Schizosaccharomyces pombe: one gene and its partners. The protein of the gene in region 4 binds, or shares a complex with, the protein of the main gene of each other region. Each region holds a gene or a part of one and is shown on either strand. Other genes may lie near its edges.

What was found.
Region 1: mrp7 (region 4) and mrpl1 share a complex: the UniProt entries of both Schizosaccharomyces pombe proteins name them as parts of the mitochondrial large ribosomal subunit.
Region 2: mrp7 (region 4) and mrpl19 share a complex: the UniProt entries of both Schizosaccharomyces pombe proteins name them as parts of the mitochondrial large ribosomal subunit.
Region 3: mrp7 (region 4) and img1 share a complex: the UniProt entries of both Schizosaccharomyces pombe proteins name them as parts of the mitochondrial large ribosomal subunit.

The regions. Positions count from the first base shown.
Region 1 is NC_003424.3:1,788,108-1,795,775, forward strand, and holds mrpl1 (mitochondrial 54S ribosomal protein uL1m), read right to left. Parts: upstream 4,345-7,668; 5' UTR 4,137-4,344; coding exon 3,375-4,136; 3' UTR 3,293-3,374; downstream 1-3,292. Other genes in the region: ftp105 (Ubp5 interacting protein Ftp10), read left to right, coding at 85-339, 392-1,585; protein saf5, read left to right, coding at 2,518-3,171; poly(A)-binding protein Crp79, read right to left, coding at 4,486-5,844, 5,916-6,390, 6,482-6,659, 6,745-6,865. UniProt on the Schizosaccharomyces pombe protein: Component of the mitochondrial ribosome (mitoribosome), a dedicated translation machinery responsible for the synthesis of mitochondrial genome-encoded proteins, including at least some of the essential transmembrane subunits of the mitochondrial respiratory chain.
Region 2 is NC_003424.3:3,204,068-3,211,213, forward strand, and holds mrpl19 (mitochondrial 54S ribosomal protein uL11m), read right to left. Parts: upstream 2,474-7,146; 5' UTR 2,468-2,473; coding exon 2,033-2,467; 3' UTR 1,895-2,032; downstream 1-1,894. Other genes in the region: npt1 (nicotinate phosphoribosyltransferase), read left to right, coding at 294-1,526; cytochrome c oxidase assembly protein Cox16, read left to right, coding at 3,453-3,683, 3,803-3,913; ribosome biogenesis protein Nob1, read left to right, coding at 5,834-6,035, 6,251-7,146. UniProt on the Schizosaccharomyces pombe protein: Component of the mitochondrial ribosome (mitoribosome), a dedicated translation machinery responsible for the synthesis of mitochondrial genome-encoded proteins, including at least some of the essential transmembrane subunits of the mitochondrial respiratory chain.
Region 3 is NC_003424.3:1,636,107-1,643,646, forward strand, and holds img1 (mitochondrial 54S ribosomal protein bL19m), read left to right. Parts: upstream 1-5,588; 5' UTR 5,589-5,648; coding exon 5,649-6,197; 3' UTR 6,198-6,826; downstream 6,827-7,540. Other genes in the region: SPOM_SPAP27G11.14C (uncharacterized protein), read right to left, coding at 1-2,025; structure-specific endonuclease catalytic subunit Slx1, read left to right, coding at 2,537-2,635, 2,677-3,393; erg8 (phosphomevalonate kinase), read right to left, coding at 3,433-4,705, 4,772-4,779; anaphase-promoting complex ubiquitin -protein ligase E3 subunit Apc11, read left to right, coding at 7,002-7,020, 7,064-7,186, 7,404-7,540. UniProt on the Schizosaccharomyces pombe protein: Component of the mitochondrial ribosome (mitoribosome), a dedicated translation machinery responsible for the synthesis of mitochondrial genome-encoded proteins, including at least some of the essential transmembrane subunits of the mitochondrial respiratory chain.
Region 4 is NC_003423.3:2,856,863-2,864,443, forward strand, and holds mrp7 (mitochondrial 54S ribosomal protein bL27m), read right to left. Parts: upstream 5,899-7,581; 5' UTR 5,763-5,898; coding exon 5,301-5,762; 3' UTR 4,617-5,300; downstream 1-4,616. Other genes in the region: morphogenesis protein Mor2, read right to left, coding at 1-4,378; Lid2 complex histone demethylase subunit Lid2, read left to right, coding at 6,953-7,581. UniProt on the Schizosaccharomyces pombe protein: Component of the mitochondrial ribosome (mitoribosome), a dedicated translation machinery responsible for the synthesis of mitochondrial genome-encoded proteins, including at least some of the essential transmembrane subunits of the mitochondrial respiratory chain.

The DNA of each region.
Region 1 (7,668 bases), on a different chromosome or scaffold from region 4:
CTTTTATATATATTACATTATTTGTACAGTTGTTTAATTTATGTTGTTACGCGTTCATTATATTTGCTAACTAATTTAAAACAGCGTTTCCGAGCATTTTTGATCACTTCTCCTTATGCTACGGAGTTTTTAACTTCTATTCAGTTTTATGCACTTAGATATCGTGAAGACAATGAACATTCCGGCCTTGTTCGCATTTGCCTTTTTATCGTTCATTATTTATCATGCGAGAAGGTTCTTTGTGAAAAACTAAATAGAAACTGTATGAATGCACAATCATTGATGTCTTCCCTTGGGTTCTCAGTCCCACCAATGTCTTATGCAGAGTTTTTGATTATCGTAAGATTCACGATTAATTGTTTATTTTAATTTTATTACTTACGCCTTCCAGTCTAGCTTTCATATTTCAGCAGTGAAGAGATCTCCGTTTAGCAGTTTATCTCCTGTTATATTGTTGACCATATGCAATATTGCACCATTTGTTGAAAACCTAAGTTTCGTTACGTGTGCCAAATTAATGCAACTCTGTTCATCTCTTTCATCTCCTCGGTTTCTTTTTCGTAATCCGCGCAATCATCTGCTTCTTGAATACCTGTTACAGGCTATTTCTAGTATAGTTGAAAACAAGTTTTCTCAAAACCCTAATCTCAGTTATTCTATTATTCGCCTCCAGCAAGTTTTTTTGAATCTTAATTCTATGAAACTTCCTGCCGTTGCTCAGACTAAATCACAGCCTTTAGTGGCCCTCAATTCGGAAGGAAGTAGTGATTTTGAATCTAAATCATCCGATAACACCTCCTTAGATGGAACACCACTCCAAAATACTGACTTTAAAAAAGTTGCTACCGTTGAAGATGATTCACCTTTCGATGAATTAGATAAATTTTCCTCCCCTTTTAGTAGCAGTAGTTCACGCGGTGGCTTATCACATATTTCGAGTAGAAATGTTTCGATTTCTGTCCCGACAGTCCTTCAAGATGTATTCTCAGATTCTCCATTGGTTCTGTCTAGAAAGTTGCGTGGGAAAATACCGGAAAATGTTTCTAGTTCAGAACTTATTAAAAAATGTGCATCCAATCCGTTTGGAAAAGATTTAGAAATTGACTCAAATTTGTTTGCACCTTCCAACTCGTGGTTTAATTCTTGGCATTCAAGACTTGAATTGGATTCTATTCTAGCCATTATATCTCAGTTTTCTCTACCTGTATACAAGAAAATGAATGAAGAATTATCAACTACTGACGAAGCTGTTAAACTATTAGCTAACTCTGTGCTAAATGATGTACATCCTCGAGTTCCCAATTTTCGCTACTTTATTTGGAGTGTCCCTATGAATAATTGGTTTCAAAGTCTTGTTTGGCTTTATACTTTGTCATTTGATGAAAAAGGTTTAATGGCTACTCCCTCTTTATTTACAACCTCTAAAGTGTACAAACAACATGGAAATATCATGAAAGTTGCATCTCCTGAAAACAGTTCTAACTCAATGGAGAATGCCACAAAATCTATACTTGACAAACTCGATTTGCTGTATTTACAGCTGCCAAGTAGTGTCAACCACGATTCCAGTTTACGCAACAAGTGATTCTTAAATTCAATGCGTAAATTAAAGTATACTTTTGTCCTAAAAAATATTTGAAGAAAACCCTGCATGCATGTTATGGTATCTTACTTTGAAAATTTATTGATTAAATTGTTCACTAAAAAATTATCTTGGAGGATTTGCATCCACATACTGCCATCATTTAATTATATACTGATGACCAGAATCTTGCCTTGCTAATTTTGATTTTTGAACTTTTCGATTTGTTTTCATTCTATTAATTAACTAAAAACTGGCTTGGAGAATCTTCTGCTCCAACCTTGTCACTAGCTTTAAAAAAGTCTTTCGAAGTTTGATTTGGAAAGTTGGTGTTTGAAAGTCAATCTCGTATACTTTAGAAAGACCCACCTTTATGAGAGAAACGATCCACTGATGCTAATTCATTACATGTATCCAAATCAATGTATAACCTTATATAGCAATGAATTGGTTGCTAAAAAATTCTTAGCTTTATTTCGCTACACTTATAAATCTGTTTACTATATAAAATAAAAAATCCAATTTCAAAAGTTTTGAGTCCCAATTTTTTGGGTAACGAGGATTACTTCATAAAGACCTTAGACCTTTCCTTTATTTTTTCCACAAAACTATTTATATTCATGAGTTTGTTTTGTAATTGCAATGAATAACTAGCTTGTCATTTACGAAAATTGCATATCAAAAGTATTTGAGTAAAATCGATATCCTGTTTGGCATAATGGTTCAATTTATAAAAAATTCGTGTGGTTAAGAGTAGAAATATATTTTCGATTTTGCGAAATGCTTAATATGCGAAGATATTGTATTTGAGTACTTCAAAAGAATACAACGCACAGTAAACCTTTTCTTTCAATAAATTATCAGGTAGAGGTGGCCTTATTACTGTTTTTTAATAATTTTTATGCTTAAATACCTATTGGAAGCAAGAAGTAATTATGATTACCAAAATTGACTCACTTCCAAAGGACCTAATTCGCAAAGTTGAAAATGGTGAAAAGTTGTTGCCAAATCAAGAAATCGTTTATTTTGAAGAAAAAACAGTCCCCTATAAAATTAGAAGTGATGAGGAAAGTTTTCCTTTGGGCAAATTGATAACTTTATTAGTAACTTCACAGAGCTTTATCCTTTTTGATGAAGAACAGAATTCTGGCTGGAAAATTCCATATGAAACCATTACTCTTCATGCGAAACAAAGCAAGGATAAGCCATATGTATATGTTCAATTAGAGGGTGAAGCCATTCGACCCTTGCTAGATCACATTCTTAAATTTGAACGGTCGTCAGGAACATTGCATGAAGCTCCTTCTACCGAAGATGAAAATGAATTCACAGATGATTTTTTAGAACTAACATTATATGTTACTGATGTTGATTCATGTTACCAGGCTCTTTGTACTTGCCAATCTCTACATCCGGACACTTTTTCCTCAGATAATGATGTTGAAAACGCGAGTATGGGAAACCCTATGTCCTTATTTTTTGATCCAAATCACCAGTGGGTTACGGCTGAAAACGTAGATACCTCAGCTTGTGATAACAGATTTGATTCTCCGGAATCGCCTGTTCTGAAATGGCATCGCACAGAGTAACTTTCATAATGTTGTATTCTAACGTTTCATTCATACTTTTTAAAAAGTAGTTTATGATAATAAATAAATATAAACAGGCTTCTAAATTTACTAGATAAAATATCATTACACATTTCACTAATTTGTACAAAATTAATCATGTAATACATATTACAAATGACAAGACTGTAGACTAAATTTCCCATGCAATAACATTTTAATCATTATTTATACTGGAGAGGAATTGCAATAGCATGTGAGGCGGAAAGATGAACATGCTTTACGGTAACTTTAACTTTTCCAGGCAGTTTGGCCAAAGTAAACCGAACATTTGATACAAGTGCTTCGATGTTTTCTTGTAGCTCCTTGTCGCTGAACCCTAGTTTTCCAACCGGCAAATTTATCGAGCCTGCATCATTTTGCCGATAGTCAACAGCTGTGAGGGCAGATTCAATGAGTGGCTTCAATTCATCTGATATAGTACCTCGTTTTATTGAAGGCATAAGACGTTTTGATCCTAATAATTTAGCAACTTGTGGTAGTAATTCTGCCGAGTTGGGATGAGCAAAGCACTTTGAAAATTCAAGGGGCTCTGTTTGAATTTTTTTTACTAAGTCTTCTGCACCAACATAGGTTGCACCCAATTTTAAAGCTTCATCTGCAGCTGCACCTTTAGCAAACACACAAATTTTAGGAGGCTCTTGAAATGGATGAGGAAAGGCAATTTGACCACGAGCTGACGGAGCGCGTCGATTACTTTTTAAAGCAATTGAAAGCATATAAGACCCAACATATGGAACAGAAATGCTCACAGATTTGAGATATTTTGTGGCTTCAGGAACTGTCATCGCAAGAGCGGGAAAATTGGATTTCTTGTTTAGTTGAGAAATAAACCTTTTGCAGAAACCCTTTTGATTTTTAAAATTTAAAAATTCATTATGTGACAATAATGTTTGCCGTTTACCTAACGCTATTAATGAACTCATGGTTTTTAATCTGGTTCGTCAAACTGTCACCAAGCTACTGGATGTCAGTCAATGAACCTGCTAAAATCATAAATCTCTAAACAAATCTGATCCAGCTGTCAACTTTCGAATTAATAAAGAATTATCTTTCAAATCAAATTTCCTTATAATGTTTTTGATTAAAGACTAAAAATAAACGGTTTCGTTTAAATTCCACGTTGTGGTAGTTGTAAGATACTGTAGGGTTATACTAGCAAATCCATCCGTTCACGATGTATATATTTTAAGGAGTTAAAAGTTTGTTCATCGGAGTTTTGAGGGATATAGCATTATGAATTTTGTTTCATAGTTATATCTTCACCGCATCTTGTTAAATCTGCGTCAACTGAATAGTTGTTGGTGAATTGTTGTTAACCTTTGTTGTTGATAAAAAATTTTCCTTATTTGAATCTTTAATATGATAGGAATTCATTTTTTGGATATTGGATGTAGCTTCTGGATAGCTGTCCATGTACCCGACAAGTGAAAGCATGTTCGTTGACTCATTACAGTCCTCATCTTGGAAATGTGAGGGCTCAACTGTTACGTACGTAAGAGTTGTACAGGTTGTTGCTCTTGCTCTTGGCACAAAGTATGCATTACTCAGCTTTTTGTTGTGAAGCATGTCTTGTATCTTCTTCAAGTTGGTGGCTGTTGAACCCATCTTAGCAGACCCTCGGTTATTTAGTTTTGTGTTAGCATGGAATACCAATGGTTTTAACAAGTTTCCTTGTTCTCCGTCATGGCTCAATTTTCCTGCTTCTTTCTTTATATCCAAGTTGCCTGATAACTGTCCACTAAGTTCCTTATTTTCTTGCTTACAGTTAACATATTCATTTGTCTGACTGGGTTCTTTGTTTTCACCAGTCTTAGGCTCATTCTTATTTTCAACCTTACTTGAAAGGGTCGTGGGATTCTCAGAGATTTTGTTTGTAGAAGACTCTATTGGCTTTCGGATGGTAACAGTAGAGCTTCTTTCTGGTTTGACGAACAAAGCTTTGTTGTCTTGCTGCGCTGTTTGTTCTGAAGTAGGTTTGTTTGCAAAAAATGCTTGCAATCTACGAATTCTGTCAGACTTTCGCTCCGCGAAGCAAACGAAAATCCTTTTTTTCCCAACCATCATTCCATTCAATGTGTCTTTGGCTCTAACGGCAGCCTCTATTTGACGAAACGCTACGAAACCATAACCTTTGGAGATTCCTGAATTTGGATAGCATGCTAACATGGAAGACAAAATCGACCCGAAGGGTGAGAATAAATCTTCCAGCTGACTCTTGCATGTGATGACGGTATCATCTAAATTTTTAACGTATAGATTTGAAGGGTCAATAGGAGAATTAGGGATACTTGGAGAGCTTTCACGTAAAGAGTCCCAATGCACGATTGACTGAGGTTTATTATCTGGGTTCCAAGCGGCTGGATGATTTTGCTGATTTGAAACACCGGTAGTTGAAACGCTACCCCATTGGCTTTTCTCCTTAGTTGGTGAGCCCATAATCCATGTCATCTTCGAACATGTAGCATTTTCGATATTTATTTGAGTTTTGTTAGCGTTTTCCGATGGGAAAGGCCATAAGCTTTCACCAGTCGGCGTTGTGGGAATTGACTTCACTGAAGAAGAGGCTTTATTTTTTATACTGACCTCTAAAATGCTTCCTTTGTATGGAACGTTATTTAATTTTTCTATTGCCTTAATAATGAGGTTAGTATCATGAAATAGATTATGCAAATATTGGGGTTTTCTCTTCATATTGAGCTTACATTTTGACATGATTCAACTGAATCCATAATCACTTCGCCATACCGGAACCCTCTTTGGTCAAGAAACTGGCTGACCGCCGTCCCTTTTACTACACCAGCCTGTTTAAAGTGGTTATATAAGTCAATCGGTGTGACTTCGGCAGGTAGGTTCAAGATACTAAGGGGTAACGTAGAAGCGAAGGCATTTGGTACAACTTGCATGCTAATATCTTCCAAACCAAGAGACGGTATGGTAAGCGTTGTTTCTGGCTTCGGGTTACGCGAATTTATGCCTCTCACAGTTTCCCAATTTCTTTCTTCGACATTTGGAATAAATTCCTTAATCTGAGACTGTTTGAGTCCTGGCTTAACGTTTTCCTCATCTGTATTGTTTTGGATGCTAGGATTGAACACGTTCGCAGTGATTGACGTATCGTTAGGTTTGAATTTTTTGTCTGTCAGTTTCGCAGGATTTACGACTCTTGCTTTAATGGTCCTTTTTTTTAGGTTAGTAATTTTTTGGAGAATGATTTTTCGATTTTTTTTTCTGTAATGCTTGTCTCTAATTTTTCCCTTCAGTCACTTACAATTTTCTTTGGCCCAGAGTCATTCCTTTAGCGTCCTTTAGAACTTCTTCAATGCTTTCAGCATTAACGAATTTGACGAACCCATATTGCACTCCATTTTTAGGAGGTTTAAAAGGTTTCGCTTTTTCCTTAGGATAAAAACTATCAAGTAATCGACGAAAGATGGATTCTACTTGTCCTAAAGAATTGATTAATATATCGCTTTTATTTATGTTTTCTAATGTTTTTCCTCGTGTTTTTATCCTTGACTTGTGTGTTCATACCATATTTTGAAAAGTGTTTGATGATTTCTTCATCAGAAAGTCGGGAATCTATATTTCCTACATATATAGTACTGCTTTCATCTTCATACTGTCCGGGGACAGAGAGTTTTGAATTGTTCATTTTATCTCAAAAAAGATGTGTGATGGAAAGGAATGGTTGTTGTTTTTGGTATATATAGGATCGCTGTTTGTTTACATTTCGATGATGCATGACTGAAACTATTACCACCATAACAAATGAGAGTAAACAAACCTTAAATTGACCTCTTAACATTTTTAGAGTAATATTTTTTGTTTTTTTTTAAAAATGCTTGTTTTATATTTACAACTTGATTTCCTAATATTCATGCAGTTTGGTTCATATCTGTTTTATCCATATCTCTACTAAATCCTCAAATCGCATTTATAATGACATTTTATTTTATTTTATTATTAAAGTCAATATTACCTGCTCGCATTAAAAAATATTTCAAATTCATACCATCCTTTTTTCGGCTTTCGCTGATTTCAAATTAAAAGTTGAATTTCCTTAAATGAATCAAAAAGCAATTAGGCTAATATTCTGGTGAATCCATTCATAAATTTTCAATTATTGTTGTTTTTGGCAAACCAACTGATATCGCACAACCTGTCAATAAGTTAGGTCAATCAGTTTATTACTCAAAATCCAGATGTTACTAAATTCTTTCATCTGCTTTTTTCTTTGGTTTTCTTTGATTTTAGAAGTATGATAGTTTAGAGCTTTACTCGCCTATATTCTTTGCTAACTAACTATACAGTATTTTACTGGCAAAAGGTAATAGATTTAGATAAAATAAGTTTGAATCGAATGACCATTAAAGTAAGTGAAAAGCAATAGGTGAAGATTTAGTGTAATCATTAAAAAGGTTATAAATGTTAGCAGTTCTCCAATATTAAGAGCAA
Region 2 (7,146 bases), on a different chromosome or scaffold from region 4:
ATCCTAACCCTTTAAAATTTTGAAAACCTTCACAAAAAAATTGACTTCTATTTCCTGCGACTAAGAGTGTTCTGATTGAAATTGACATTAGTAGGGGAAATTATAATTAATATCTTTCATATCAAGACACTTTAAATTTTAATTCTATTTGATTTTGATTTCCTTGCGTTTTTAATGCGCTAACGGCAAACGTTCATTGATTTCATAAAAAAGTTTCGTCGGGTTCTATACACCTCAGGTTTTCAACCAATATTAATATATAATTTGAAAATATATCTATCCTTTTTGCTACGATGAGTGAACCGGCTGTTGTCTCTATCCTCGATACGGATCTTTACAAACTCACCATGCTTCAAGCCGTTTTAGAGCATTATCCGGATGCTCAAGTATCATATAAGTATACAAACCGGTCCCCAAAAATGGCATTAAATCAGGAGGCTTATAACTGGTTACGGGAACAAATAAGAGGCTTACGGAATTTACATTTACTTCCTGAAGAAGAGCAATGGCTTCGCAAGAACTGTCCTTATTTAAAGGAATCATTTTATGAATTCATGCATGAGTTCGAATTTGATCCTGAAAATTCAATTTCCCTTAATTATGATTCTGAAACTAAGGATCTCTCAATCTTTATTCACGGCCTCTGGAAGAATACCATTTTTTATGAAATTCCACTGCTTGCTCTCGTCTCAGAATCTTATTTTAAATTTGTCGATAAGGACTGGTCACCTGAGGGTCAGTTTGAAAAAGCTTACGAGAAGGGTAAGCGTCTCATCCGAGCCGGATGTGCCTTTACTGACTTTGGCACTCGTCGTCGTCGTGATCCTCACACCCAGGAAATTGTTCTCCAAGGTCTCATGAAAGCACAAGAGGATTTTAAGGGCCCTGGAAGTTTCCTTGGTACATCTAATGTTTACTTCGCCGCCAAATATAATCTAAATGTCTCTGGTACGGTTGCTCACGAGTGGTATATGGGCATTGCAGCTATTACTCAAAATTATAAACAAGCAAATCGTATTGCTTCCTTAAAGTGGGTCCAAACTTTTGGTACTAGTCTTTTAATAGCCTTAACGGATACATTCTCTACTGATGTGTTTCTCAAATCTTTTACAGCCAATTCTGCCGACGATTTAGCCAATGTTTTCCATGGTGTTCGTCAAGATAGCGGTTGTGCTGAGGAATACATTGAAAAAGTCGTAAAGCACTATAAATCAATAGGTGTCGATCCTTCCACAAAAGTAATTGTTCATAGCGATGCTTTAAATGTTGACAGATGTATCGAACTGTACAAATACTGCGAGAAATGTGGCATTAAGTCTGCATTTGGCATCGGCACAAATCTTACCAGCGACTTCCAAAAAGTTTCCAATCCCAGTGAAGTGAGCAAACCTATGAATATTGTTATTAAGCTTTTTTCCGCTGAAGGAACTAAAGCAGTGAAGATTAGTGACGATATCATGAAAAATACTGGTGATCGTGATGCTGTTATTCAAGCCAAGCATCAATTATGCCTCCCTATAGCATAAGCCATTTCTTTTATTTTCGAGCGTTTCTGCAGTACTAATCTTGGTTTTTTTTTTCTTATTTTTTGATAGATAGACAGAGTTTGAGGCTCTCTTTTATTGAGCTGCATTTCATAAGGCGTGACTTAGAGTAAACATAAAACTCACACTTGAAAATCTTCATTTTCTTTTCTGCTTAGCATATCTGTTTCGTTATCTATATTGATAGTTTAATGCTAAAGGTAATCATTTAGTCTAAGATGTGTTTGTAAACTAACGGTATGCAATTCTTTAATTTTATATGGCAAACGTGTTTTTTTACTTTGCTTGTTTAACGAAGGAATAATATAAAACAACTAAGAAAAGGAGAAAATAAGAAAACAGGGACAACGTTTTAGTCGGTAATAGTAAAAAGTCATATCATTAACTGCTTTTATTCAAGAAAAAAGAGGGGAATAGTTTATAACAAGATAGAAAAAAAAATAACCTCAAGTATGACCAGTTACAAAATGCTCTGGCGTCTCATAAGATTAAGGTACGACTTTGACGCCCATGCTTTTAGCTGTTCCAATGACACTTTTACAAAGAGAAAGAAGCTCTATTCCTTGTAAGCTTGGATCAGTACTTTTCAATTTGGCAATTTCATATATATGCTTCAAGCTTAATTGTCCCTTTATATCATGTAATGGGGAACTTGAACCTTTTTCAAGGTCGAGGGTTTTAGAGATTAACCAACTGGTTGGAGGAGTATGTATAGTGAAAGTAAATGTTCTTTGAGGTGTGACAGTAATTTTACAAGGCACTGGGGTATTTGGCATCCAACCTGCCGTCCGCGCATTAAATTCTTTACAAAAGTCTATGCTCTTCAACCCGCGAGCACCAAGGGCAGGTCCAATTGGAGGCGTAGGCGTAGCTTTTCCTGCCGGTACAATTAATTTTATGATTGTCGTTCTAGTAGAAGCCATAAGGTTAAAGAAGAAAATACAGTTGTAAGTTGTATGTCTCTCATGCAATAAAGTAACATGTTCTTCCTTAAAAATAATTGTAATTAGAATAATAACTAATTTGAAATATTTGGGTGAATTAATTGTAATGTGTTTACTTATTTGTAATATTAAAGCTTTTAATAGCAGTCAGAAAAATTCCCGAATAGACCAAATGTGTCCTTCTCTTCTGCTTGATTGAATAGAAGTAAAAGTATTGACATTAAATAGGCAACTCAGATAAATGGAAAAGACGTTTTCATAAACGTTGTTCGTTTTAGGATTTTTTTGAAAAATTTTAGTTGATTTTTGAATCTCAAATACGGATTAGTTAAAATGTCGCAAAATTTTTCATTTGTTGAACAACAATAGCGCTGAATTGAAGCCGTTTAAAAGAAGCAAACCAAAATTTAGCTACATAGCTTTTCAAAGTTAACTCCTTACTATCAATTAATATATTAAGTTTTTAGGGATTGGCAAATATCCTAACTAAAAAGCATGATTATTTCATTTGAATCACAAGCTGAAATTAAATGGTCTTTTCTCAGCTATTTTATTACTTTCAATAAACATTTTACATACCATTTTATGGTAAACAAAGTAAAACACATGTTTACTGGAAGTCACAGTCTGTCACTAGCACATGCCATCGATATGTTTCTTTTTCCTAATGTGTATTGTAATTAAAACTATAAAGGGTTTTCACCTGAAGTGCTTGGGCTATGTAGGAATGCTGTCACGCGATGCAGCTTGAATAATTAGTAGAAATAAAAAGATTTCAAAGTGCAGATTTCTATTAAAACTCTACTCTTAAAATTAATTATTACAAACCAACGACTATCTTATTAATTTCCATCCTAACATGCTGAGTGAAGTTTGCCATAATCATCTTAACCAACTTGCTATTTACTACACATTCTTAACAATCCATCGTTTTCAGCGAATGTAAGGATGTTAATAAATTAAAATGCTTTTCTATCGATTTAAAAGTTGGTATAGGCTTCAAGCCAAGAAAAGTCCGTTTATTTACGTTGGATTGCCGTTTTTGAGCTCAGTATTATTAGTCTGGTCATGCTTGATCCCCATTTCCCAAGTCAAATTTAACAGACGAGATGAACAAGTTAAATCCTTGTCCCGGGATGCAGAGTTAGACATTATTAAAAGAAGAAGAAAGGTCGACGTTAATGAAGAATATTATGTAAGTAAAGTGCTGATCTTGTTTTACAATATTTAAGTTTTGGCAACCAGCTGCAAAGTGCATTTGCTTTTCGTGAATTTACATTCACCAGTTCCTTTTTTATTAACCACCTGTTATAGAGGATCTTATTAGATCAGTTGAATCTACAGAACGAGGAGTACGAAAATAAACGTGTAAAGAGGTTAAAAGGGGAGCCTACATGGGAAGGAAATTCAAGCGATAAAGAATGAATAATGAACGATTTTATTGTTATTTTGTTCCTTTATTTTATTATTAATTATGGAGTATTGAAAAGGATACAAGTTTTTGAAGTGAGAATGCTGAAGACGACTTTATGATACAGAGTGTTTTAGCATATGGAAATACTCAAATAAATAAAGCAAGAATTTTTTTTTCTAACATGAGAATAATATTTATGTGGCTCATATATAATTATCTTCAATTTAAAGGACCAAATACTTACACTTAAGCATATTCAGTAGAATAAACTTTCAATGAAGATATTTGAGCGTAAATTTCACTATGAATATGTCACTCAAGCCTAAAAGCGTTTTAATAATAGGAGCATTCAGAAAGGTTTCTTTACTAGTAAACGGTTTATTTTTGGCTTTCCGTTATATATAAGTAACTTGTTAAATAGAACTTGTTTTGAAAGCAATCAAATAAGTGCCATCTCTCTTTATTATATGCTTTGGACCATTACAATTACTAATGATACTAACGCATGGTCTGATTCTATCTACTGTTTGTCTAAGTTGTAAAGAAGCCTTTTCGAATGCGTTTACAACGAAAGATGGAGGAGCTAAGGACAGTATTCAAATAGTGACACACTGTTAATAAGGATTAAATTTAATATTAATTTCTTCTTTATAATGGTAATACTTGGTATTGCATCGTCTTTAAGTCATTGAAAATTATATATATTATCCAGAAGCAGTGAACAAACTAACGCACTATAGTAAACAAAAGATCTCCAATACCCGTAAAAATTTATTTTTAGCGTACGACTAGTTTGGATTCCTGGTGAACGTTCTTATGTATAAGACGGCGTGATATTTGCAAAGCTGATTTATTGCATAGGTGATATTAAAATTATACAAGCCGAGATATCATATTCGATTAATCTAAGTTATCACAAGCGAATCCACTTAGTTAACAATCTACCACAACTTATAAATGGTTTTGTTACTTGCTAACTATGCCGAAGATATGTACATATTTGCTAAATTGAAGCGTTTAACGAGTAAACCAATACTTTTAAACAATAAAGATTTCATCGATTTTTTAGCGTATGCTATATGCAAAAAATTGGTATTTGACCCGCTAATGTTTACTGACATACTTGTGCAAATACTTATGAGGCATGAAATTGAAAACTTATTCAGATGAAATGACTAAATTTTACCCTTTCCCCGAAGAACTGTAAAATAATTATGAAAGTTCAGCTATGTCATCGATCTATTACTCGATGAGCTATTGCACTAAATTGCAATTTTTTGTGCCATATAAATTTGTTCCGATTGATTTGAATCGGTGTTTTGGGAATATATAATGTACAAGAGAAAACACCAACCAAAGTACTTTACTTTCATTTCCTTTTTAAATATCCGCAAACAATACATTGTGCTCTTTCAATAATTTTCTCGAGCTACTTGTTATAGTATACCAAAAAAATGAGGGTTGAAACTAACTAATAGACGCAACAATTAAAAGAATAGTTAAAGCCTCAATAGTTGAACCGAACGGCCTCTTTGAAGCATTTGTAAGCAATGGCCAGATCATGATCAGTTACTATCAAGCTCACCAGATATTTTTAACTCTAAAACATTGGTAGTCACTTGATTGAGTAAAAACATTCATGGATAGAAATTTTTCATTGTTAACTTTAAGCATCAGGTGGAAGATATCTTAAAATTTCAAGTCCACTATGTTCAACTTACATACCGGTTTTCTAATAAAAGCACTTTAAACTCCTGCATTGGAATTCATATTAAATTTTCTGACTATTGTAACTCTCAATTCTTATAATATTTTCATTGCTTTAGTTCGTGATTTATTTACCTTAAATTGTTTACTGCAACATAGCGTATATATCAAACATGTGCAGTAAGTACTATGAAAAACATCAGTTTGAGTAAACTAGTGCCAAAATGAGTAAAAGCATTACTCATCTCGTCCTCGATACAGGTGGGATTATCTGCTCTAGTACTTTATTAAGAAATTCTGCGGAAAGCTTTTATACCATTCCTCGAGTGATTGCAGAAATTCGAGACGAAACATCGAGGAAAAATTTTGAACTTTGGGGCGATCAAGTAATTCAAAGAGTTCCAAAACCAGAATTTATAAAAAAAGGTATGTTTTATTAAAAAGAAAGTTGTATAGTGGTTGAAGAAAGCAACCAGCTAGATTTTATTCTGTGCACAGTCATCTCTGAGAAGTGAAAGCAAGGTGGGTGAAAAAGCTTAATCATATTGGAATTTGATCGCTTTCTTACACCTGCTATTCTTTTCAACTACTTCCATCATAAATACTTTGATTCTTGGTAGCAGCTTTCTAACAAACTATAGTTTCCGAATTTGCAAAGCAAACCGGTGATTACTCCTCACTCTCTGTAACCGATATTCAAATTTTGGCTTTGACTTATGAGTTAGAAGTCGAGTTTAATGGTGGTGACTGGAGACTTCGCAAGTATCCTGGTCAAAAGCATATCAATGGAAAACCCCCTAGTAATTCAAATTCTACTGAAGATGCATCTAAACCCACATCAAGCGATACAGCTTCTGTAAAAGAAACTGAGAACAGTGATCCTAAATCCGCAGAGAACGAAGTCTTGGAAGGTGAAACGACACAACATTCCAATAATAAAGAAGCACATCCGAATACTGAAGAAAATAAAGAGCAAGAAGACAATGAGGAAGATGATGAAGATGATGGATGGATTACTCCTTCAAATATTCGCAAAAAGAAAGCTGAGGATGGCGTCGGTGAAAGCCTTGTTCAACCCAAACATCTCAAAGTCGCCTGCGCTACTACTGATTTTTCGATGCAAAATGTCTTATTGCAAATTGGGCTAAATCTAGTTTCTTCAGATGGTTTCAAAATTCAAAATGTTAAGAGATTCGTTCTCCGTTGCCACGGATGCTATACAGTAGTGAAAGACATGGAGAAAAAATTCTGTCCTTCCTGCGGTGGTAACACGTTAATTAAAACCACGTGCAGTATCAACTCTAAAGGTGAATTTCAAGTGCACTTGAAGAAGAATTTCGAGTGGAAAACCCGAGGCACAAAATATTCCCTTCCTAAGCCAGTTCATGGTACTTCAAATGGTAAAGGAAAGAAAAATCCTGTTTTACGTGAAGATCAGCCTGAATATCAACGTGCTGTACGCCGCATGCAGCGAAAGAAGGAAATCGATCTTATGGATGAGGATTATCTTCCCTCTCTGCTTACCGGTGTTACCAAA
Region 3 (7,540 bases), on a different chromosome or scaffold from region 4:
ATCCATTAACGTTTGACTAAGTTTGTTCCATGCAACCTCCCCCATTGAATTTTCAAAAAACAAAAGTAAATTAACCAACCGCGGTAGAAGACTGGATTCTGATAAATCATCGTCAGAATATCTTTGTACTCTGATATATTTCCTTGAACAATTGAATATATGGCTCAAATTATCATTCCTAATGATACACTGTAATCCACCTAACTTTTGCACTGCCTTTAAGCTTGATGGGTAAATTATGTACGGACATTGTTTGTGATTATATTTTAGTAACTTCTCTGCTTCTCCGAGATCCAGCGTTTTCCCCACATCTGTAATATGCCAACAGAGCATTCGAATCGGGTTGATCAATAGTCGAGATATAAACCAGTGCGAACTGAATGATTGGTGGTAAAGGCTATTTTCAAAATTTCTTTGCATAAATTTTAAAATAAGTTCTTGTATAGCGATTCTCTGTTTCGGTGTAAGCGACTTTTGTCGCTGATGAACAAATTCTGACAAGTATTGAAACAACGTTGATTCATTGTATTGCTGACTATGTAATTTTGTCAGAGCGATTCCTTTCCTGGAACAGAAAAACAAATTTTTCAGATGAGTAGAAGACATAATTTGATACAGACCACCCATTGCAGCTACAGCATGTAGATGGTATCGTTCCAAATGGAATGGATGGGCAAATGATTTAAGAAATAAGCGGTTTGCCTCCTGTAATACAACCATTTTTTTTGCAATCATTAAATAAGAAATCAGACATAAGGTTGGCTTAACCAACAAGCTAGCGAGCAACGTATTAAATGAAGAAGAAAAAGAATTATTGAAAAGTTCTTTTTCGGATAACTCTTTCCTGGCGACGTTAAACTTTGAAACATATAAATCAAAATTTTGGTATATAGTCTTTTCTGATTCAGGAATAGATAATATTGAAATTGACTCGTTAGATATTAATTTATTAGGAATCACAGTTTTTATGCTTCGAGTAAACTTGTAAGTTTCTTTTTTTGTCTCCTCGACATTTATTGTTTCGTATAAAGAGTCAATCATGGCATCCCAAACGTCCACTGGAACAATTTTCTTTCGATTTTTGGAAGATGAATATGCTAATAAAAAAATTTTTGCGACAAATAAGTCATCTTTTTCATTTTCTACAAATGCAAGCAAGTTTTTTTTTAAACCCATCAAGTAAACAGCGTTGTATAGACCTCCAATATACTTAATTGCTAATAAATTTCCTTTCGTGAATTGTTTTGAATGATTGCTTGCTGTGCTAACAGCTGTGTCTTCAAATTTCATGATTTTTTTACCGGATAAATCTTCAAAAACTATTTGAGAAAACATGAAGTGCAAAGGATCAACGAGTAAGCTTGTGAATGCCCAGCATTTTGATGAATTTTTCAACAAAAACTCGTCATTGTGCGAACTAACTTCAACGTAAACATCTTTGAAGACAGTATTAGTATTGATTGATGATTCTTTGAAAGAAACTTTGTCATTGGCGTTGGAAAGTATGGAAGCAATCCTTATATACAACTTTTCAGATGATACGACACTATCGTCAGTTGAAAGCAAAATAACTTTCTGAGCTGAACAGTAAAAAACATCAGTCAAATATTTTCGTATGAAACTTTGAAGAGAAACAAAATGGTAAAAAATGCTTTCAGGAATCAAGCTCTTCCAAATGTATTCAGCTTCATTTATACCAGTTAAGCAATTGGATCGTCTGGCATACCAATAGATAGCTTGAATTGCGTTTACAACAATAGATGTAAGTTTTTGGTTCTTTCTAAAATCAATGACGGGGACTGTAGCAGTAAGGTCATCATGTTTTTTTTTTTGCCAAGTTGAGTGAAATCGCCTATTGCAGCAATTGTTTGAAACAATGACTGAATTTATCAACGCATAGGTGGTTGCTGTAATTTTGAAGAAATCATTAGTATGCTTATAATTTGCAAAAATAACCTCATCGGCCTTCGATATTATTGCTTTGATTGGAAATCTGTCGCGCAGCTGATGAGAAAGCAAGTTCATTACGGGCCGCTCAAAAAGGTGGCTTTCTGGATTTTTTTAGAAAACTATCGTATACTGTTAGCAATCATTGAGTATTGACGACCGAGTATTAAAAATCTAAAGATTTCTTAATTAGTGTATATGAAGGAGAGGACAAGGTAGGTCCTTTGAAGTAGCTTTGTTGAGAATTTAATACAACAAAAAAAACACGCTTAGACGGTGCTTAAATAGGTTCAGTAATTCTTTCCTTTTTTTTGAATTATAAATAATCCTTAGTGAAAGAGAAAGTAATGAAGCACGTCAAATAACAATTTAATCTTACAGATTTACGTGGATAACCCTAAAGACAGTAACGGTGACCTTTTGTTTTACATTGTTTTCTTACTATTATTCGAAGACAAAGCTGAAAGAAAAAATACTTTTAGATTATACTTTCAATTAATTAACTTAACAAGCTTATAAAATTACCACTAGTTAATTGTTCGATTACCACGGGTTAAGAGAAAAGTGCTATCGAAAAGAATTATGAAACATGGATTTGTGCAATTTCTACTGCTGTTATTTACTAAAGTCGAATAGGACACAATCAAGTGGAGCTGTTTATATCGGTTCCACACCAGATCCACCTAGAGTAGGTATTTTGTGCTATTATAGGAAACTAATTTGTTTTAGCGATTGCGGCAACATAATGGGGAAATAGTTGGTGGTGCATCAAAAACTAAACACGGGCGCCCTTGGTCGATTTCATGTTTAGTTTACGGCTTTCCTAACAAAGTGTCTGCTTTAAAGTTCGAATGGAATTGGCAAAATCTGGGAATCTCGAGGTACACTAAAGATTGTGATTTCCGTTCAAAAAAACAAAAAACCATTATGTATTGTCTTAAAGGTTTAAAGCATTTGGTTGACAGTGATACGTGGAGAAGATGGCCATTAAACATCACATTTCTAAATAAAACTGCTTTCAGTAAATGGAATCAACTTGGTAAAACTTATGGTAATATCAATGTATACTTCGACGAAGAATGGTTAAATGGGTTTCACGAAAAAGTAATCCAAAAAACTTACGATCATAAATTATGTTTAAGAAAGACAATATCAGAGCCTGTTAAGTGTAACCTATGCTACGAATGTATCGAATCTGATGAATTGCGGGCTAATTGCCCTTTTACGGATTGCAATTCAATAAATCATTTAACTTGCCTTGCAAGCAGTTTTCTGACAGAAGAATGCCAGGTTCTTCCAATCGAAGGAATGTGTACAAAATGCAAAAGAGTATTGAGATGGAGAGAGTTCCTGTCTACGGTTTTCACTACTTCTTTAGAAACTGACGAACGAGATTTTGAAAGCGAAAATAGAATAGAAATCATAGATCTAGAACTAGAAAAATAGCGCCAATACTGTGTCAGCAATCTCTATAGTTAGTCTTGTTTATTCTACGGCTAGCCCATCGAAAGCAGGAGAAACGTCCATGGGTACTACCCCATCATCTTTCCATGTTTTGATAACATTTTCGATTATCTCCGTATGGTTAATGGCCAAACAAAATTGTGCATCAAATCCGCCGGCTCCAGGAACTCCCACACCAATGACACCAGGCAACTGCTCTATGTTGTCTAAAATATTTGTTTGCTTTAAAGGTTCTATGTCAACCTTTGCTTCAACGGTAATTCTTTGAAGAATACGACGAATGGATCGAAATTGACTTTGAAGTTCAGAGTCTAAGCTTTCAGAAGAAAGAAAACAGTTTTTGATGGAAAGCACTCTTGAATACAAATCATCAAAGCAATTCTTAGATTCCTCTGGATTTTCCTTTTGCCATTGCTGTACTTTTTTTACCATACCCGGTGTGCTACTGCCACCAGCTACGTCCCCCATTAGCAAACAATAAGTAGCAGGCAATTGAAATGGAACAACATCTGACCATTTTTTAGAAACTATTTTTCTCAGTTCGGTGGAAAAATTTATGTTCTTTATTTGTTCGTCGTATGGGACCAGCAGTTGTTCAATTAATTTAGGATCAAACCTTCTATAAATACAACTTCCCCAAGTGGCAGCGCCAACATCAAACCCACTTCCTACTTTTCCTTGTGCAGAACAGTGGGCAATTTGTGCCAGATTGTGAACTATGACTTTGGTTGAATCATCAATTTTGAGAGATTTGTCACCAGTGTCATCTGTTAGTCGTCTAAGACTTAAAAATAATGAACCTATAAGACTTGTAATCATAGCTGCCGAGCTTCCTAAACCAGTCTTATGTACTTGACCTAAAGTACAGTTTAAGAAATTGAATTTTGGATAGCTTGTTTGATCAGGCTTTAACTGTGGTTGGTGATAATAGGCATTATCTACCTGCAATGTAACTTGAAGATCTTGCCAGCATAAAGGTTGTCGCCCCGTGGAAAAAAAGTAGTTAATTACATAAAAAAGTGCCAGTTGAACGAAGGGGTTTGGATTTTTTTCCAATTCACAGTTTTCATATATCTGATGAACTCGAATAGGAGATACAGTCCAATCAATATTATAAAGCCATTCAGCGTTAATGAATTGAGGGCTTTTCACACGAACCGTTCCACATTTATCGTCCAAAGTCGTTGTGGAAGCGTACCCTTTGGCAGTTAAACCAATAACAAGCCCGCTGTATTGAGGATCTAAAACAATGTATCCACCAGCTATAAGTACTTTACCAGGAGCAGAGCAGGTCCTGCCAAAGACGCTAGTTAGAGATGGACAAAACAGAAAAAAAGAAAAAAGACTGGTTTCAACTTACACTTTCATGTTGATATATTTTTGTCTTGAATATGGATATCTCTATAATGTTTTGTGTGTCGTAACTTTTTTATAGGACCTGAGAAGGAAATAGAAAGGAATGTATGACTTCTATCTTACGTGATAATCTGTTGAATTTAGAGAAATGATATATCAGTCAAAGTAAAAGAGAGGATTATCTTCGAACAGTAGCTCCTGAAAAGTGTTATTCTAAAAATCAAAAAAAATAAAAAAAGAACTGATCAAAGAGTATCAAATGTTATACAGAAACTAAAGTTGCTTTGAGTAAATCAACTTTCTAAATCATTATCGTATCGTTCGTTTCGCAAGATTTGCTTGTGGAGAAAATAGTATAGAAAATTAACGTTAATTAAGGAGAGTTCGAAATCAGGAATACAGAGATTACATTAACGCATATTCATATTAGAGTATATAATTGATTGCATATAAAATAATATCTTTTACGAAAATGGAACATTAAGGTGGAAAGAAAAAAGCAAATCTTGCTATTGAAGTTTTCTGAATACCAGCGAGTTATTGATAGTATTATAACTACAATGAGAAGCCATGTAACTGAATTGGAACACGTATATTCATTCGGGTTCAACAGGAATCTTTCTATTGCCTTGAACATTCAAGGTCAGAAACACAATCCTTGATGGATAAATCATATAAAAATATATAATCAACTGTATTAACTTACATAGTCTAATATAGCGTAATGGAAGGTTGACAATAAATAACATATAACGAAATACGTTGTGCAGAATTTGCTAATTCATTTTGAATACCATCGTACTTACTTAAAAAGATACTCTGTAGAATATAGTGTTTTGTCATTCTTACTAACGAACGGTATTTAATGACTTTTGGAAGACATGTTTAATGCCAAACACTTTTTCAATTTAGGATTGGGCTTTCAATGGCTACAAAAGAGAGGTATTGGATCGTTAAAACGGCCTTATAACTTTCCAAAGCCAGTACCAGGTCCAAAGCACAAAGATGTGTTATCATTATTCGAAAAAAAGTGCCGTTCAGTATTGGATGAGCAATCTGAGCGATTCAAAATGTTTCATCGCTCGCAGCCAAATCGAGTAAGACCAGGCGCGGTTTTACTGGTTGAAAGCTACTCAAAATACCCATCAAAAGATTCAGTCAACAGATTTGCTGGTTATCTACTGCGAATTCGGCATCGTGGACCAAAAAGTTCAATCCTGTTACGAAACGTGGTAATGGGTGTTGGAGTCGAATATTTGTTACCAATTTACTCTCCACAAATTAAACGTATTGTTGTCCTCAAAGAAAATGGTCTATCTAAAAGACCTAGAAGAGCATACTTAAGTTACTTGCGTCAACCTCGCTTTCGTCTTCCACCTGTTGAATCACTGGTGCGAAAATACATTGAACAAAATCAACATAAACCTTGACACAATCATTGCAACTTCTGCAAGTAAATTTCTTTTTTTTTGCGAATCTTTCATGATTTTATTCAAGAAGCGCTGTATGATTTATAGTTCGTTTACACTCTATGTTTCCCTATCTACTTGTCTTTTTCTACAGGCTATTGCATTTAGAACTGCATTATAAGAGGCGTTGGTTGGTTTTCTGGAACAGATTTAGAGATTTGGATGTATATTTCGGCTTTAGCCTGTTTGTCAAAACACGTATTATCGATTCCATGAAACGGCAATGAATCACCTCCTTTGAGCCTTTTACCCCCTTCTCATTCTTTGAATCGACAAGTCACATGTCATTGCCATTAATTTTCCCAGATGAATTTGTGAGGCACTATGAATCAAAACCTCTACTTTTTTCTTATAAATTTGAGCTGTATGTAGGCTTGCCTCTTCATAATTCTGCGCTTTGATTATTTTGAATAATATTTGAAATTATTCATGTAAAAAAGTATAAAACTTGAGCTCAACAATATGTTATAAGCTAAAGAAGCAAAGTATCATAAATATAAAAATTTTGTTAGCATGTCGAATGTAGCCGGCTTGTTACAGTCCAATGAAAATTAGTTTTAGTTAGAAATTTTAAACTTTCAGAAAACGAAAAGATGTATAGCTAAAGCCAAATATCAACTGTAAATCTACTAACTCTTCTCTTCTTACGACATTTTGTTTTTCGCCTGAATTGTTTTCTTAATACCGTGGTAGAACGTAAAACATTAGCTAGCAAAAAACACTAATGTTTATTTAATTAGATCTCAAATACAATATACAAAGACTATGAAGGTGAAAATACTGAGTAAGCGAATATTTTGGAAATAAAATTGTTTTCTAACCACTAGGATACCATGCAATTGCTAACTGGACGTGGGATACCCCAAAAGACGACGTTTGTGGTATATGTCGTGTTCCATTCGATGGATGCTGCCCTCAATGCACAAGTCCTGGAGACAATTGCCCCATAGGTAAGAATATGTTTGTATTTATTTCCTGAATATGCTCTGCGGAGGCTTACTTGTATACTTTGCATCCTAAGGGGGTATCAGCATGAAAATTTGTTGCGCAATTGGGTTGGTTGTGTTCAAATAATCTTTAATCTAATATTCATACTTTGTTTTTGTTAAAAAGAGTTTATCATGGGCATCAGCTTTCACAGAATTAATTAAAGGCTAACTACGCTAGTTTGGGGGAAATGCAAGCATATATTTCATGCTCACTGTATTCAAAACTGGTTAGCTACTAGCGGTTCTCAAGGTCAATGCCCGATGGACCGTCAAACTTTTGTGGTAGCAGATTCTACGAATGAAAAGTCTGAAACA
Region 4 (7,581 bases):
GTAAAGATAACTGGCACGGGGAGTAGGAAATATGATTTTTTTCACTGGGAAACAAATCCTCTAAATTTGCAACATAAGTTGAAGATAAATCCTCAAGACTAAATTTATAAACCTCTTGGTTTTCATTCGATACATTAGCAGGACAAACAAAAGACAGAAGGGTAGAGTAAAGATCAGAAAGAAGTTCTGTTTTCGCGAGATAAATAGTAATCTGTCTTGTACAGTCAACAAAAGAAAAAGTTTTCCTTTGGTAACACTGTTGCATTAAAAAAAATAAGATTACGGTCCAGTTCGACTTGTGACGCGAAAGAGCTAACGAGGTCCATAAAGCCTCAATTTCGTTAGGTAAATCATTAGTAAACTTTGCAGTGACTTCAATCAAATCAATTAGAATTACCGCCGTAAAAGAATCGAAAGTTTTGTTTTCAACATCCATCTTTAGCTCCAAATTTTGTAGCCACGGAAGTAAAACCGTCACCAGTCCACGTCTATGTTGATGACCATAATTGAAATAACGTAAACATTCTGAAGTTAAAGTGAATGAATCTTCAGTAAAATCGCTAGCAAGCTGTACAGAAAATAAGTATTGAGGTTTCAAGTATAAAGCGGGGTTGCTTGATTCCAAGAATGTTTTAAATTCCATCAATGCAGTCATAGTAAAATTATTTAGATGAAAATTTCCAAGTAACTCAAATGCTTTTAGCCTTACCGAAAGATTATTCGTGGAAAGGTTTACCAAACACAAGGGCAAAAGCTTTGGTTTACTCAAATTGTTTGGATTTATTTGAATAAGCATTTCAGAAAGCGACAAGAAATAGTAATTAGAAATAGTCTGCGAAATCTCTTTAGAAAAGCAACGGTTGATTACCTTCTGCAGCAATACTTCATTGCTGCTATTCTCTAATAATAAGGCGGTCAGGCCTTTTCTAGCCAGCCCCACTATAGCCTTGGAGGGAGAACCAAAGACAGCAGTAAACCAATTAAGCAGTATCTCTATGTCGAACAAAAACACTCCTTCAGTTAATTCCTGTTGTAGCTTTGCTGTACATAACGCGATCATTGCCTTAATAGCCAAATACTCGAGGTTTTGCTTTCCAGCTTCAAATGAAGCTAACAACTTATCACGCTCACGAATATCTTTATTGTTACCGCGTATATGAGCTCTCATTAGCTCTTCGCGATTTTTTGTAATTGCACGAGCAGGACCAAATCCAGTCCATTCATCCAATAATTTCCAACACGAAGCACGTCCCGAAAAAGGAAGAACCTCAGACGACGGATGCAAATTCTGAACCAGTAATACTTTCTCAAGTAATTGAGAAAAGTAGCACCTTAATTTCAAATACTTCTCATCTGCTTGGACATTAGGAGTACTCAAAAATCCCTTTAAATCTTTCAAAAATTCAGATATAACAGACAACGCTTCACGGTCTTCATTTAATAACTCATGCAATAAGAGATGTGATGTCATTGCAAAAATGTGAGCTATTTCAGATCGCAATAACAAATCAGGTTTATTACGGCGCTTCACAGAAGGGAAGTTTAAGCCTGCAAAAATAAACTCTTGATGATCCTGTTTGAGCACAGATATATACGGCTTCAAAGAACGTACTAATTGTGGAAAGGCGTTTACGTTTATACAGCCAATAGCAAAAACAACAGCTTCACGTATAGGAGAAAATTCAGTAAAAATGAGAGGCAATACCATACTAAAAAGACTTTCTGCGCTAGTTATCTTTATGGTTTCCTGTAAACCACGTAAATGGTTTCCAGATTGAACAGCAGTAAGTGTCCTCCTAAGGTCAGTGTGCGAATAATCCACGTTAGAAGTGTATGTAATTGTACAACATGCAACAATAAGGTACAGCTTCCACTGAACTAATAAAAACTCAGGAAAATTATCATTTTTTACAGCAGACTTCAAGTTAAAGTTTAATTCCGAAGATTCAATACGCGATAATAATTGCATAGTAATACTCGGAAGTTTCTCACAAACAGTATTTCTAAGCAATGCCATAGTGGTAGGAAATCTTTCAAAACAAACCTTTATAAAGCGAGGAAATACATTGTACCATATTGAAATGTCAACGCCGCTGTTTGACGTAGCTAGTTTCAAAAGCATATCCTTGGTTCCATCGTTGATAAACTTGCGCAATCGTGACCTTTCAGCAGCAGTCGGTAAGTGACTTTCGACACTCAAAATTGAAGAATCGCAATCTTTCAGAACATCGACAATTGTCGGTTCAGAATATATGTCACCAACTTCAACTTTATCTGAAGAAAGCATCAAATACTCCGTATTTAATTGCTTAACATCATTAAGCAAAGCCACTGCAAACTTACGGATTCCAACTGATGGTGAAGATAAATGAAGTACACCAAGTGATTGAATTTCTTCAATTATCGTCCAACTTTGAATGTCATCATAATCTTGTTTTACAGAGGCAGGAGTATTGCTTTCAGAACTTGCACACGATTTATTACTAAGGACAGAATTCCTTTTTTCAATAACTGCTTCTTGCTGACTGATCCAAATTCTAATAACTTCATGGTAAGTTCGTAACAAGTACTCTGAACCCTTAACCAATTTCCGAGAAAGACAAGATATCACTGACTTCGACATTTTAAGCCCAGAAGAAAAGTATATCAAAGAGTTATGACAAACAGTATGGATTATTTTGTTTGAACAATTCAAACACTTAACATATGCATCAATTACACGTTGTTCTAATTTTCCCATGAGACAAGGAAACACTTTGAGTGCATTAATGTACAAAGCAAGCAAACTGGTTGCATTTTTTGAATCAAGGTAACAGTTGGTATTAGTGGAGAGCTGAAAAACGAGGAATAGAAGCTTTTGCGAAAGATTATGAACAAATTGTTGTAATGGAGTTCCGACGGCAACTTCATGTAAATCAACGAACTCAAATTCAATATATTCGAATATAGTACTATCCGATTTTTTGTACTTCATGTCGTGCAGAATGTAATAAACAGACCGAACAACAATCATTAATTTCTCAGGGCCAATATTCTCGGTAAAAGCATCAGTAGACAAAGGTGTTAAAATCTCTTTGATGACAAGCTCTGGAAAATGAGCACCGACTACACGCACAATTTGTGCATAACCATCCAATTCTTCTAAAGTGGCGAATGGAACCACGCTAAACTTTTTGCCAATCGAAAATCCCGATTTCAAAATATTAGAAATATTAGAATTCATTATGGAAGGTTCTTCCTTATACTGATTAGAGTAAGTCCATACAACACGAGAAAGATGGGGTAGACCGGTGTTCCTTAATCGTCTGTCTTTAACACGAAAAAAAGCAGCATCAAGGGAGGATATCCAATGCTTAAGGAAGAACTGTTTGGGAGAAAGACATAGAAGTGTACAACAAAAAGGGAAAAAAACATTCCAGTATTTAGTTTTCGTACACATTTTCAGTACTACAGGATATATTGTTTCAATGGTGCGCGACCACGCAGGAATATTCACCTCAAATGTAGCTCGACTGATTAATGGTCGAAGCAACTGTTCCATAAGATATGCATATTCGATTTTCAAGGCTGTGTTGGCTTTCATGAAAAAGGAAGTCAATGATTGCAAAAAAGCAATTGACTCTTCTAAAAGAGTTGTTGGATAAAGCTGCAAACGCAAATAACGCATTGCTCTAAGGAGATGGACAAGAACCGTTTCTTTTTGCCTGGAATCACAGCCAGACTTTTCCAAATGCTCAATCTCTTCAATAAAACGATCTGATACCATGACGAAGTTAAATCGAGACATACTTCCCACAAGGAATGCAAAACTTTCCCAATTAGCAAGACTGAAATAGGATGACGAAACTGGTAAATTTTTAGCGCTTAGTAGCTGATGAAAAACGCATTCTAATAAACAAGATACAGTGCTTTCTTCTAAGGCATTTGACGGTATCGTTTCAGCAATCTCAGTCAAGACACGGCAAAGTATATAGATAGAAATAGAACTCCTCCGCTCATTAACAACCCGAGGAGTACCACTTGAACTTGTAATATCAACACGAACTTTTCTCCAACACAATAGGGATTCAATGACGGCAACCGGTTTGCTACTAGCTAAAGCTACAAGAGCTTGAATACATCTGTCAAATTCATTATCTTCCCCCTTTTTAAGAAGGAGGATAGCTTCTTGCTCTCCAACGTTGAATCGTACAGGTTCAGCATTCTTACCTTCGTTGGCATGATAACGAGAAAGAAATGATATTTTTTGTTCAGAGAGTCGAACAAACTGGGTGAAAAGTATGTGAAGCGCGTAATCAACTGCCGTATGGTCCTGCTTCTCAGAATACAAAGGACCATTTTCGACAGGTTGATCGTGAGCAATTTCATTCAAGCTCATTCAGGTTGGCATTATATGGTTATCTACTAAATAGACGAACTTCAAAGAAAAGGAGTATGCAAAGTAAGGGTTTGAGAGCAATACCGCTAGCCTACAGAAAAGTGAAGAAAAAAGTGTATAAAAAAGCTATCTCGTTAGTTTTTATATTTAAGCATGCGTAAGCAAATTGACTAGCAATCGATTGTTAAAATTTAGGCGTGAATGGATTCAAAACTAGAAGTTTGTAATGGCTAGCACTCCGAACAATAAAACCTCTCAGCACACTGCAACAATTTTTGCACATAAAGGAATATAACGCACTGCGTTGTAGTAGGTGTGGTACTATATAGTAGGTGATATACTTAAAAGTCTAACTTCAAAATGCCCAAAATAATTTTTAAATGAAATGTAAAAAAAGAATAACCTTCTGTATGTTTGGTCAAAACTTTCTGAATTCTATGTCAGAAAAGATAATATGGTACAAGTTCAGTTTTTTTTAATGATTTTTAAACCGTGGCAAATGCGATTTTTACACGCTAACTTTTTGGAAACGAATTATAAATATTTGTTGAAAAAACTTGAAAGTTTAAGAACAACATATACAATGCTTAATTATCAAATTATTCGCGTGGAAAAAAATAGAAGCATAAATCAGTAGAAAAAGAAAGACATATACGCAAACTTGTATACGCCCAAGACAAAGTAACAAAATAAGTTATAAATTTAATCATGCATTCACATTTTTGAGCATTAGACAGTAATAAACTACGATGACCGTGACGGGAGTTTAAATAAATAATAAAAAGAAGAAAATGTTATTTCGTGCAACCTTAAGTTGAAGGAAATCCAAAGGCATTGATGCATGTAATTATTAGTATATCCTTTTGAAGTATCTCTAAATAGTGAGCATTGCAGGTATGATGATGAGAGTTTCCGCATGGTTTCATGAAACTTGAGCAGAATTAGCAGAAGTTATATACTTATTGACACGGCGAATTGTAGGTTCATCTTTGGGCCTTGGTAACGTTGTCTCTTTGTCAAAAACAACACCGACGTATTTCCTCCGTTTGCGAAGAGACACATCCATTTGAAAAAACTTAACATATCCGGAAACAAGAGAATATATTGTGTGATCTTTACCTAGACCGGTATTATCTCCGGGATGAAATTTTGTACCACGTTGTCGAATTAGGATCTCACCAGCCCTAACGAATTGGTTTTCAGACCTTTTTATGCCGAGACGACGACCAGCAGAATCACCTGTGTTTTTCGATGAACCACCGCCATGTTTAGTAGAAGTACGAATAGGAGGGAAAGTGAGAATATTTGATGCTTTCTTATAAGCTAAACTAGCTTTAAGTAATTGAAAATTGTTAACACGAATAAAAAGCCCTTGATTGATCATTGCACGGTGAACTTTGCATCAAATGAAGTACGTATTGTAAAAGAAAAATGTGTTAAACTGATTTGGCAAATAATTAGTAATGTAGAAGGATACTAAATATTAAAAAAATTATATCTTCGTCGAAATATTGGTTTATACTAAAAGGATGGATTCGTTGTAACCAATCTTCGAAAGTTTCTACCTTACATTTCCTTTATCCCAATTTACGAGTCGTGGTAATCGTATAAAATATTCTTATTTTACAATAGTGTAGCCTTACATTTTCTGTTTGAAATTCCTTACTCCTAATATCTCGCTAAAAGAGTACCATTACCTACAATTTACTTTGTTTATATTGGAAGCATGATCGCTAATGAAAAAAAAAGTAAAAGACACTAAATTTACGTCGACAATTTCTATCCTTCTTTTTAATCATGGAAAATTCACTTGGCTCTTCAATTCAAACAGCATTAATGACTGCATGAAAGAAATATAACTTTTTCAAAGTTTTAGCCTTTATTGTATTGTCTTTATTACTCAATGATATTCAATTTTACTTGAACTTTTAAAGTATGCAGCTGGAATCACATATAATAGATTTTTCTGTGCTACTAATTGATGTCTTAATGCAATTTCAACTGTTTTGTTCCTCAAAGCAAAAATTTATGAATAAAAACGGATGTGCTTCGTGTTACTAGTTGGTGGCAGGAACCAGCAAATTTCATTTTCTTGTGAAGAAACCATAAATTCTACCTTGACAGCGATATGCTTCAAGTTATACAGTATATGTGCTGCCTTAGTTCGCAGGATAATGTATCAGGATATTGTCAAGCTTTAACTGGATTTGATTATACTCGGAAACTTCCTTAGGTTAAAAACTTTTAAAATTGGCATAAAATCTTTTTCTCGTGGATCTTCCAGCCATAGCACGACAGGGAGTACTAATTAAAGTACGTTTTGCTTAGCTGTACCTACGTTAATGTCGATCTGAAGCTTTAAGCTACTACTTCCACCTAATACTGTCGTGTCGATCCCATAACGGTGTGTTATCGACGATAAATACATCAATGTACGCGTTTTTTATTTTATGTAATTTATTAGAATATTTTTTAAAAGTTGTAAAATTTTTTGGTATATATTTTTAAAACAGGGTGGTGTTGCATTTCTAAATATTTCTCCATGTATATTGATTATGCACTTTTCCGTTTTCCATGATATGCCAGCTTTTGTGGCACGAACATAATTCTATGGGATCAGGAAGAGAGAAGAAAATAAGAAAGCTAGGAGATAACTTTTCATTACCATATCTGAAATTTGATTGTGACCATAATGACAAAAATTATCGCGCGTCAAATAGGCCATTTGGACTTTCAACTGGACTGTCAGTGCAGTTGAATGCTTCGAACATGACTGATCCCTTTAAATTTTTGTTAGATAATTGGCATACAATTTTCAAAAATGGAGCAATTAAGCTTCTGCCACCTGAGGGATGGCAAATACCTGTTGTTCTTGATCAAGGCGCTTTTGAGTTTCAGTCAAAACGCCAATGTTTAAATAAAGGTTGTCTCAATTATGAAAAAAATTATGATTATTTTAAGAAACTTAAAGCATTTCATGAAAGTCGCGGTTTATATTTTTATCACCCACCGATTATCGGGAATCGCCCAGTTGATTTTTTGCGTTTGCGTAATGCAATCTCAAAGTTTACTAATTCCGGCTCTTCATTAAATAATGAAATTTTACATAAAGTCATAATCTATTTGCGTCTTGAAGATACTAAAGAAGTGAGGCAGGTTCTCACTCGTTGCTATGATCGATACATCAAACCATTTGAAAGGGA